3 linked regions of the Saccharomyces cerevisiae S288C genome follow. The gene in region 1 interacts genetically with each later gene. Each region holds a gene or a part of one and is shown in the gene's direction. Other genes may lie near its edges. The genes, in order: GPI18, GPI16 and ERO1.

Evidence for each region.
Region 2: mutations in GPI18 (region 1) and GPI16 together harm fitness more than expected from each alone (negative genetic interaction), as found in Saccharomyces cerevisiae (2 studies listed by BioGRID).
Region 3: mutations in GPI18 (region 1) and ERO1 together harm fitness more than expected from each alone (negative genetic interaction), as found in Saccharomyces cerevisiae (2 studies listed by BioGRID).

What each region holds. Positions count from the first base shown.
Region 1 is NC_001134.8:243,782-247,617, reverse strand, and holds GPI18 (GPI-anchor transamidase GPI18), read left to right. Parts: upstream 1-1,950; coding exon 1,951-3,252; downstream 3,253-3,836. Other genes in the region: UGA2 (succinate-semialdehyde dehydrogenase (NAD(P)(+))), read right to left, coding at 1-608; RCR1 (Rcr1p), read right to left, coding at 1,071-1,712; COQ1 (trans-hexaprenyltranstransferase), read right to left, coding at 3,388-3,836. UniProt on the Saccharomyces cerevisiae protein: Mannosyltransferase involved in glycosylphosphatidylinositol-anchor biosynthesis. Responsible for the transfer of the second mannose to the glycosylphosphatidylinositol during GPI precursor assembly.
Region 2 is NC_001140.6:481,869-485,704, reverse strand, and holds GPI16 (GPI-anchor transamidase subunit GPI16), read left to right. Parts: upstream 1-1,867; coding exon 1,868-3,700; downstream 3,701-3,836. Other genes in the region: ERG9 (bifunctional farnesyl-diphosphate farnesyltransferase/squalene synthase), read right to left, coding at 1-860; PTH1 (aminoacyl-tRNA hydrolase), read right to left, coding at 1,105-1,677; Elongator subunit IKI1, read right to left, coding at 3,786-3,836. UniProt on the Saccharomyces cerevisiae protein: Component of the GPI transamidase complex. Involved in transfer of GPI to proteins.
Region 3 is NC_001145.3:11,315-14,914, reverse strand, and holds ERO1 (ER oxidoreductin), read left to right. Parts: upstream 1-1,740; coding exon 1,741-3,432; downstream 3,433-3,600. Other genes in the region: COX14 (Cox14p), read left to right, coding at 162-374. UniProt on the Saccharomyces cerevisiae protein: Essential oxidoreductase that oxidizes proteins in the endoplasmic reticulum to produce disulfide bonds. Acts by oxidizing directly PDI1 isomerase through a direct disulfide exchange.

The sequences.
Region 1 (3,836 bases):
GCCAAATATGCCATTGCTAAAGCAGATAGCGGCGTTTGAGAGTCTGGCTTGATGACTACTGTGCAGCCCACAGCTAAAGCAGCGGCGGCCTTTCTCGTGATCATGGCGCTCGGAAAATTCCATGGACAAATTATACCGCATACACCAACAGGTTGCCTAATTGTGAATACTCTGTTGTGAGGGTTCAAGGGTTGAATAGTAGCACCATATAAACGGGGTGCTTCCTCGGCGTACCACTCAAAATACGAAGCCGCGTATTTGATTTCTCCTTTAGCTTCCCCTAGAGCTTTACCATTTTCTAAAGTAATGATGGTTGCCAGATCATCCAAATTTTCAAGCATTAAGTTATACATGTTTCTGAGCCACTTTGCCCTCTCTCTTGGTGTTGTATTCTTGTACGTCTTGAAAGTTTCATAGGCAACATCAATCGCTTCCTCAACCACGGAGACTGGTTGTTCGGGAACTCTTGCTATGATTTCGCCGGAAGCAGGGTCTACCACCTCAAAAACTTCGTCAGTGCCCTTAACCCATTTTCCGTCAATATAACCAGATTCTCTGAATAAATTAGGGTCGTTTAGAGTTGGTTTAGAATACTTACTCAAAGTCATGTTGAAATAGTAGTTTGTAAAATTTGCTTTTAATGTAGCTGGTTTTCTAGCTTAATTGATCAAATAAGAACAGAACAATAAAGGACGTTGCGAAATAATATCTATTGATCTCTGACGAGTATTTATACCCTATTTCCTCTCCATTACTGATGGTGATGTGATGTGATGTGGTGCTATCTTGTCACCCTTAATCCATTGGCCGCCTTTGCTAATCCCGCGCGCATTTTCCCTTTATCACCACCACGCCGTGCGATGGACTTGAAGTATTTACTATTGATAAAATAATACTGAGAGATTAAAGACAATGTACTGAATATAAACTATAGCACTTCAACGACCGCGGGCCTGAAGCGGATTAGGAATTAAAATAATTATTATAGAGATTGGGTAAAAAAATGTAAATATTTCTGGCAAAATATTGTAACTCAACTGTAAGAGGACAGCCGGAAAAAAAGATTCAGTTCATGACCTTGCATTTACCTTTGCCCTCTCCGGTGGGTTAATTTCCTGCGTTGTAGTCCCGCCCGGAAGCCTTTCCAATTGCTCCACCGTATCACTTACAGCTGGAACGCGCCCATTGCTAGGCCTTGTTAAACCGTAATCCGTATCTAAAGAGTTAGCTTGGTGAACTACAGCAGCGGGAGGTCTTTCTAAAGAATTAACAGATTCTGATGAACATTCTTGTACCAATGGCGGGGGGGCCACGTATGCAGCCTTATCGTTGGGGTGAAACTCGCCCCGCTGGTCATAGTATCCAAGATCATGTTCGTTCGCTGTTTCTGTATACTCAGGAACATAATCATCTGTCCGTTGCTGAACGGTCCCAGTATATTGTTGCTGAGACTGTCTGTATGAAGGCGGTGTCAACCATGCCGTACCTCTAATGGGAGCACGCCCCATCCTTCGTCTCCTTCTGTTCGCTACAAAAGTGAACAGTATTATAAGGATTACTGCGGCAACAAACAGCACAAACAAAATCCATATTCCTGACTGCCATGACGACGATGATGGCCCATAGTAACTAGTCACAAATTTGCTAACGTGATGGTTATCTGCCTTTTTCACCTCGTTTATCGCCTCATTTTCGTATGAAATAAGTCCCATTCCTTATTCTTAATTCGAGTTATACTTTCCTATTTATTGGAATGATCAATAAGCTATTACAGGTGCCTTTTCTGCATGAGCTTCCTGTCGGTCATTTAAATACTTAAAATAGAAAATCCCTTTTAAATCAAACTTTTTTTTTCAAGGCTTAGTTGAAAAAAAAAGTAAGCCTCATCATCGAAAAAAGACATAAAAGAGAGGCTTCGAGAGAGGAGGCGGAATAAGACTAAATTAAAATATGATTGTGGGGTTGACACTTTATTTTGTATTATTCCGTTCAATACAGTATTTACTGGTTTTTTTGACTCCAATTAGGCAGTTTGATACATCAACATCACTTTTATTAAACGAATTATGTTCTTCTCCCTCTGAAATCAACAGTTATTGGAACAAGTATTTTTGGAATAAGCTACTATCATGGGACAGTGTTTTTTTTATCAAGAACATAACTTCCAAAAACGGAAAACCTCAATTTGAGCATGAATACGCGTTTTCTCAGTTGTGGACTTTTTTCGTTAGGCTGTTTATTAAAAGTAATAACGATAGCATCTACCATGCCTTAAGGGTTGGAGTTGCAATAGAAAATGTTTTATTTTACTTGTCAGGTATTGTTTTATATTTTCTAACAAAAAAAATTTTCAGCCAAAATATAAGGCAATCACAGTTTGCTAGAACTATCGCTAAAAAAACATCTCTGTTGTTTTTCTTAACGAGTGCCGCTGGATTTTTAACAAGCATATATTCTGAACCATTATCTTTTTTTTTTGCATTTGTTGGTATTTGGAGTCGTGAATGCTCCATTTCCGTGCCCGTATTGGGTCAATTCGATATTTCGTGGAGATATTGGTTTCCTTACTCCTTTATCAGCATGGCTTGCTTTACCTTAGCATCCTTGAATCGTTCAAACTGTGTTTTGTTAGGGATTTACTTTATTTTTGACCTTATTGAACTAACAAAGAACAGGAAGTTTGTAAAAGCAATATGTTTCCCACTATTATCAGGATCATTAATGTTTTCTGCTCTACTATATCAACAATATTACCTACCATATAAGACATTTTGTCCTCAAAGGGGTGAATGGTGTAAATCTCAATTGTTTTCAAGCATTTTTATCACGAAAACTTCTTTATATTCCTACATTCAGAGTCATTATTGGGGAGTTGGGTTATTGAAATACTGGACCCCAAACAACATCCCAAACTTTTTGTTTGCTGTCCCAAATATTATTATTTTAATCTATTCCTCCATATATTTCAGCAAAATTTATCCCTCCTATAACTTGAAGGCTCTCGTATGGATCACCAGAGCACTGGTCGTCATAGTATGCTTTTTTGCCCATGTCCAAATTCTGAATCGTATAGCCTCCTTTTTACCCTTGCACCTTTGGTATTTGGCTGATAGATTGGTTAAAACTTCTGATCCAAAAAAAATGGAAAATCCGAAAGGTGACGATAAGATAGTCAAGTTTTACATATACTGGTTGGCATTCTGGATACCTTTACAGACTATCCTATTTGCAGCTTTTTTACCACCAGCCTGATCCTTAATGCTTGTATATTTCTTCTTTTACTAAAAACATATAAAAACTATTTACATATAGAATATAGAATAATGCGACACTATGACCTTCTTCATTTTCTCTTTATTCTTCACCCTTTATTTGAAATTTCAAGGTTTACTTTCTTCTTGTTAGTATACTATTAGTTAAAAACTCTAGGGCAGAACGAGCATCAGATTCAGGAAGAGAATCCCGTAGATTTTGTAATGCCTTGTCCCTATATTCCTCCGCTAGTATTTTCGTCTTCGCTATACCATTATGGAGTCTCACAGAATCAATAGTTTTTTCAACATCACCCCTCTCTGAAAAATTGCGTGAAATTAGTGGACCTAAAGATGGGTCTTCTTTCCATGCAAACAAGACTGGAGCAGTAGCAATACCTAATTTTAGATCCGCGCCGGATGGCTTCCCTAAATCTTTTCCAGACACAGTAAAATCAAGCATATCATCTACGAGTTGGAAACATATACCTAGATTTCTACCGAAATCATAGCATTCGTCGATAACGGCAGGTGATGCCCCAGATAATATAGCAGCACATCTGCAAGATTTTGATATCAAAGCAG
Region 2 (3,836 bases), on another chromosome or scaffold:
ATACCGGCCAAATAAGTCAACACATCGATAACATGACTCAATGCGTTTAAGACGAGGTGGTTTATACAGTCCAACCCCAGTTGTTCGTTTTCAGGTTTCATGAAGTCCTTCAACTGAGGAGCGTATTGTGACCAGATTTCCTTGGGCCAGAAGGATCTACCATCGACCAAATCTTCATTGTAATCTCTGATGATGTTGGTTTTTTGTAGGAAAAGACCCATGCTTTCATACAATTGCTCATTAGAATACAAAGATTCGTTGGCAAACTTGGCAATGACAATCAAACGGGTCAAACCATCACCGACCAAACCAGCTACGTAGTGACAGTACACGTCGTAGTCGTGGACGGTTTGCAACCCATTCAAGTTGTAATTTTCATCTAAGATGTAGTCGGCCATACCATTACCCATTTTCTCGGTGATCTCCTTGATGACTTCTTGATATTCTGGTTTCAATTTGTGGAATTCAATAAGAATCGATTCGAAATCTGTCAAAACGGCTCTGTCCTTCACATCGGGGGCATTTCCGTCGAAACTCCATTTAGTTAACAACAATTTCTCGTGGAAGTGACGCAACAAGTCAATTTTCAAATCGTGTTCGATGGACATATCGTCTTCGATGGTATCCAAAGCCCTTAAAATCAAATAAAAGAGAGTAACACAGTTTCTCAATTCTGGATGCAGCTCTCTGATCACAGCAGCAAACGATCTGGAGGTCAAGTTCAACAGTTCGAAACAGTGCAAGAGATATGGAGACGTGGACTGATCATAGATGGAGAATAGCGGTGTTCTGCAAAACTTCAGCTTCAAAGCTGCCTTCATCTCGACCGGATGCAATGCCAATTGTAATAGCTTTCCCATTGTGTGTGTGTGATATGTGACGTGTATACGTTTTCCGCTTCTGCTCTTCGTCTTTTCTCTTCTTCTGTGCTCTTATTCTTTGCCCCTGTCCTAACTTTCCATTTATATAGCCCGTGGTCGTGTTCTCGCTGCTCGTTTAGGCACTAAACCCAAAACCGATAACGCCTTCCGATGCAAAGTGCAGTGGAAAAGAAAAAGGGCAAAGCAAATAGGATGGTAAGTCGGTATTGTTGTTGAAGATGGGCTATGAAATGTACTGAGTCAGAGCACGCCAGGCAGCAGGTTCACTCTGTGTAAGCAAGGTTTGTAGTTCCTGCGGAGTTAGAGCTCCCAGAACCCACCGGGACACGCTCGCAGGGTCTCTAGAACGGGACCCAGGTTCTCTGCCGATTCCAATAGCCAATTTGGCAAAGGGTACACGGCCTCCACTGCATTTTAGCAGGCTTCGCAGCCCATTATGACCTCTAATACTGGTGCTGGGGGCTCTGAGCTGCACTTTTCCACACGCCACACTTAACTCGTCATGAATAACTACGTGTCGGGCTTGGTACTTGGCGTACCGGGCCCAGACCTTGCACACCTGTTCTCCACTTAGATTCATGTACTGGCCATCCGATCTTAGTATCGTACAATGTTCGTCTTCTATATAATGCACTTTGCCGCCCGTATTAGGCACAGGGGAATAAGTTCTCCCCTGCAGACCAAGCCGCTTTCGTAGCAGCTCCAGCATATATAGCCCTACATTGTGACGGGTACCAGCGTACTGAGGCTCTGGATTGCCTATCCCGGTCAGCACTAGTCTCCATTTACCGGACATCTTCCTTATCTGCCTAGAGTCGACTTGTTCCTACCTACTATTTTGCATATTATAGGAATAGTTCGAGATTATTTGAAACCGCCGGACCTTTTTGCGCTGGGCGATCTTTTACACGTAGTTTTAGTAGCCAATAAGTAAAAGGAGAGCGGAAACAAGTGTTCAAAGCAAACAAAGCATAGGCAAGACGACGATGATCCTCACACTGGCCTATTTCATGCTGGGCACTCTACTACTGGGTGTGTTCGCAGAAGACACGGTGTCGCAGATTGGTATAAATGACAGTTTATGGTATCCGTACGACGAAGCACTGGTGTTGAAGCCGCTGCCCAACAATGATCTGCTACTCTCATTTGCATTCCAACTGCAATCGGAACCGTTTGACCCGGCCGTATCATCCATGTCATATGATGCGTATGAGCACTACACGACTTTCCCACGGGCCATCCCACCATTGTTGGAATCTACTGCCACGCGTCAGTTTCATTTAAGATTTACCAGAGGATTCTGGGATGCCCTGTCGTGGGGACAGTTGCCACATGCTGGAAAAGAGGCAGGTGCCTCAGGTGTGGAATTGTGGTCGCAAGTGCAGGCCATGGATCAGGAACAGGCGTTCCATAATTGGAAAAAACTGTCCAATTCATTGAGCGGATTGTTTTGTTCTTCTTTAAATTTTATCGACGAGTCAAGGACGACCTTTCCCCGGCGGTCATATGCTTCTGATATAGGAGCTCCTCTTTTCAATAGCACCGAGAAACTGTACCTGATGCGAGCATCGTTGCCCAATGAACCCATCTGTACCGAGAACTTGACGCCGTTCATAAAACTATTGCCTACTAGGGGCAAATCCGGTTTGACATCTCTCTTGGATGGTCATAAATTGTTCGACTCTCTATGGAATAGTATTTCCTTGGATATTGCCACTATTTGTTCTGAAGATGAAGATGCTCTTTGTCACTACGAGATGGACGCACGCATAGAAATGGTAACACACGTTCCCTCCGCCTTGGCAAGAGGTGAGAGACCTATCCCCAAACCTTTGGATGGGAACACATTGCGTTGTGACACGGATAAACCCTTTGATTCTTACCAATGCTTCCCTCTACCGGAACCTTCGCAGACTCACTTCAAGCTGTCTCAGCTGTTTGCCAGACCAATAAACAATGGCAACCTGTTTGCTAATAGGCCCACAAGAATTTGTGCAGAAGTTGACCGTTCTACCTGGACTGCGTTTTTGTCAGTTGACGATACTATTTTCAGCACACATGATAATTGCTTTGACTTATCAAACGATCAAAATGAGGGTGGTTCGGGCTACGACTTTATTTTAGAATCGACGGACACTACTAAAGTTACTCCCATAGTTCCTGTCCCAATTCACGTAAGCAGATCTCTGACTGGTAATGGACAAGATCGTGGTGGAATGCGTATTGTTTTCCATAACGACAATGATACCCCTGTGAAGTTGATTTATTTCGAATCATTGCCATGGTTCATGAGAGTTTACCTATCCTCTCTTCAAATTACTTCTACTACCTCTCCGCAATTGCAAGAAAACGATATCATCTTAGATAAATACTATTTACAAGCGGCCGATAGAAAAAGACCTGGCCACTTGGAGTTCACGATGTTAATTCCAGCTAATACGGACATTGTAATGACTTATCAATTCGATAAAGCTCTTCTGCAATTTGCCGAGTATCCACCAGATGCAAACCATGGTTTTGAAATCGATGCAGCTGTAATCACCGTGCTATCTTTGGAGTCCTCATCGTCTCTTTATGAAATGAGAACCTCTACCCTATTGTTATCCCTGTCTACACCGGATTTTAGTATGCCGTATAACGTCATCATTCTAACATCTACAATCATGGGACTCATATTCGGTATGCTATACAATTTGATGGTGAAGAGAATGGTCACCGTCGAAGAGGCCGATAAGATTACGTTGCAATCTGGCTTAAAATACAAATTGCTAAAGCTAAAGGAAAAGTTCCTAGGGAAAAAAAAGACTAAAACAGACTAACAATCTAGCATCTAGATATGTGTATGAAGTATACGTAGTTTACATAATCTGGAAGCACTCACTATTTACCATCAGTTTCTACTTTTTAAAAGGGATCCTCATATGGATCCTCTTCATCATAATCGTCATCCTTTTC
Region 3 (3,600 bases), on another chromosome or scaffold:
CTTCCTTACTTCTGAGCTTTGCTTCTCCTTCCTTGCGATTAATGTTACCCGGTATACGAAATCGGAGAGGATCAGAATAAATGCATTGAAAGGAGCATAAATCTATACAGCGGTTTGGCAATGGTGAGAGGAAGAGAACAAAAAATAGAACGCAGATAGTCATGTCCAAATACGCTTGGTATACCAGAGTTACAGATACATTACATCGTCTAACGGTACTGACGTTGGTTGGTGGTACGTTATACATGTCGGGTGGCTTAGCTTACACTTTATACATGAACGGTAAGAAGTACGAACAACAAGTGACCCAACAAAAGGCACTTGAAGAAGACAATCAACAACTGCAAAGTCCTACTGCACCTCCTACCGAGTAAACTGCGAGAACCCAGTGCTAATAAAATGAAGAAAAAGTACTAGATTACATTTTTAAGTGTTGCACTATATTCTAAGGGCCTCCATCGACGTAGTGTGCTGGTTCCACCTTCTCCTCATTATCATGCCAATATTTACGAACCTGTATATAATAATTAAATCATAAGAAACAACAAAAATAAATAACATTGCTGCCGGATTCCCGTAGGCAAAACTAACATATATATCGCTGCATGCCTTCCTATTCCTTATCAGGGGAAAGACTGCCACTGAGGTTTGAGGCCAAAGGCTGAAACACTTTTCTTCTAAAATGTCGTCTATTCGCCATCTAGTTTTTTATCTGACTATTTCTCGCTGTTTACTTTTTCTTACTGCCATTATGTAGGCCTTTTGAGTCAGCTTTGTGAAGAGATCTTATTACCTTAATTCTTGCTGAAAAATACATCGCAATGAAGTCACTTTCGTGATGGAAAGAACACGGCGGTAAGAATACGTTCCTTTTTGTGCTGTGTACACCCGTAAAATTGTACATTATTTATTTCAAAATATATAACAGGATCCCTCCAGTGTGTCTGAAATGATGCAACTCTGATACTTCAGAGTCGTACCCTTATTAAATACTAATGCCGAATATAGTCATCCAGTAGCCATAGTTCACACACACATTACTTATTCACCACATAAAGAACTAGAAATGCTTGCTAAATATCGTACCTTGAAGGTAAACATTAAGGCCCCCCAAAAGCATATATACATACTGGCAACACAAAAAAAGTAAATTGCCAACCACCTACCTTACATATGGTTTGCCCATCCTACATTACCAATACTATCAAGACATTTCTTCTGAAACATATTCACAACTGAAACGAGATCATTTTCTTATCTATCTATTGAGTAATGCTTACTTTTCATATTTTCAATGAACAATAGGATATGTAGGAGAATTGATATATTCACTGCGTATCAGAGAAAAGGTCTACTGACATTTTATGGCAAATGTATTCTACACAAATCGAGAATACCACAGACAATGGTACAAGACATACACAAAGAGAAGACTGTTCTAATTAAACAAATAATATTGAGCTACCTGCTAAGTATGTCCTTTTCCCTTTGTCCTTTGGTTTCTCTTATAGAAGACCCTGGAAATTTTTCGCATTTTTCCGGCTTTGGGCGTTAGTAAGAACAAAAAGAAAAGAAGAGAACAAAAAAGAAACGATACGGAGTACGTGTCATAAAAACTTGTTCAATCATCCTTGAAGCTAAGTATAAAGAGCTTGAAAAGGTTTACCACTTAAACTGGTTATACTATTTCAAGAGTGTAAACATTTTATTGCATATACCACAGTAACGTGCAGGTAAAACATGAGATTAAGAACCGCCATTGCCACACTGTGCCTCACGGCTTTTACATCTGCAACTTCAAACAATAGCTACATCGCCACCGACCAAACACAAAATGCCTTTAATGACACTCACTTTTGTAAGGTCGACAGGAATGATCACGTTAGTCCCAGTTGTAACGTAACATTCAATGAATTAAATGCCATAAATGAAAACATTAGAGATGATCTTTCGGCGTTATTAAAATCTGATTTCTTCAAATACTTTCGGCTGGATTTATACAAGCAATGTTCATTTTGGGACGCCAACGATGGTCTGTGCTTAAACCGCGCTTGCTCTGTTGATGTCGTAGAGGACTGGGATACACTGCCTGAGTACTGGCAGCCTGAGATCTTGGGTAGTTTCAATAATGATACAATGAAGGAAGCGGATGATAGCGATGACGAATGTAAGTTCTTAGATCAACTATGTCAAACCAGTAAAAAACCTGTAGATATCGAAGACACCATCAACTACTGTGATGTAAATGACTTTAACGGTAAAAACGCCGTTCTGATTGATTTAACAGCAAATCCGGAACGATTTACAGGTTATGGTGGTAAGCAAGCTGGTCAAATTTGGTCTACTATCTACCAAGACAACTGTTTTACAATTGGCGAAACTGGTGAATCATTGGCCAAAGATGCATTTTATAGACTTGTATCCGGTTTCCATGCCTCTATCGGTACTCACTTATCAAAGGAATATTTGAACACGAAAACTGGTAAATGGGAGCCCAATCTGGATTTGTTTATGGCAAGAATCGGGAACTTTCCTGATAGAGTGACAAACATGTATTTCAATTATGCTGTTGTAGCTAAGGCTCTCTGGAAAATTCAACCATATTTACCAGAATTTTCATTCTGTGATCTAGTCAATAAAGAAATCAAAAACAAAATGGATAACGTTATTTCCCAGCTGGACACAAAAATTTTTAACGAAGACTTAGTTTTTGCCAACGACCTAAGTTTGACTTTGAAGGACGAATTCAGATCTCGCTTCAAGAATGTCACGAAGATTATGGATTGTGTGCAATGTGATAGATGTAGATTGTGGGGCAAAATTCAAACTACCGGTTACGCAACTGCCTTGAAAATTTTGTTTGAAATCAACGACGCTGATGAATTCACCAAACAACATATTGTTGGTAAGTTAACCAAATATGAGTTGATTGCACTATTACAGACTTTCGGTAGATTATCTGAATCTATTGAATCTGTTAACATGTTCGAAAAAATGTACGGGAAAAGGTTAAACGGTTCTGAAAACAGGTTAAGCTCATTCTTCCAAAATAACTTCTTCAACATTTTGAAGGAGGCAGGCAAATCGATTCGTTACACCATAGAGAACATCAATTCCACTAAAGAAGGAAAGAAAAAGACTAACAATTCTCAATCACATGTATTTGATGATTTAAAAATGCCCAAAGCAGAAATAGTTCCAAGGCCCTCTAACGGTACAGTAAATAAATGGAAGAAAGCTTGGAATACTGAAGTTAACAACGTTTTAGAAGCATTCAGATTTATTTATAGAAGCTATTTGGATTTACCCAGGAACATCTGGGAATTATCTTTGATGAAGGTATACAAATTTTGGAATAAATTCATCGGTGTTGCTGATTACGTTAGTGAGGAGACACGAGAGCCTATTTCCTATAAGCTAGATATACAATAAGAGCAACACAGTTTATCTTATATGTATTCAATGTATAGATTTCAAAATATAGAGTTTAAATATCATTCAAAATATTCAATAAATTTTTCCTTTGAAAATTTAGGCCACTAAAAAATTATAAGAGCCAAAACGAAGTAGATACAATAATAAAAATAATATAGTCATATC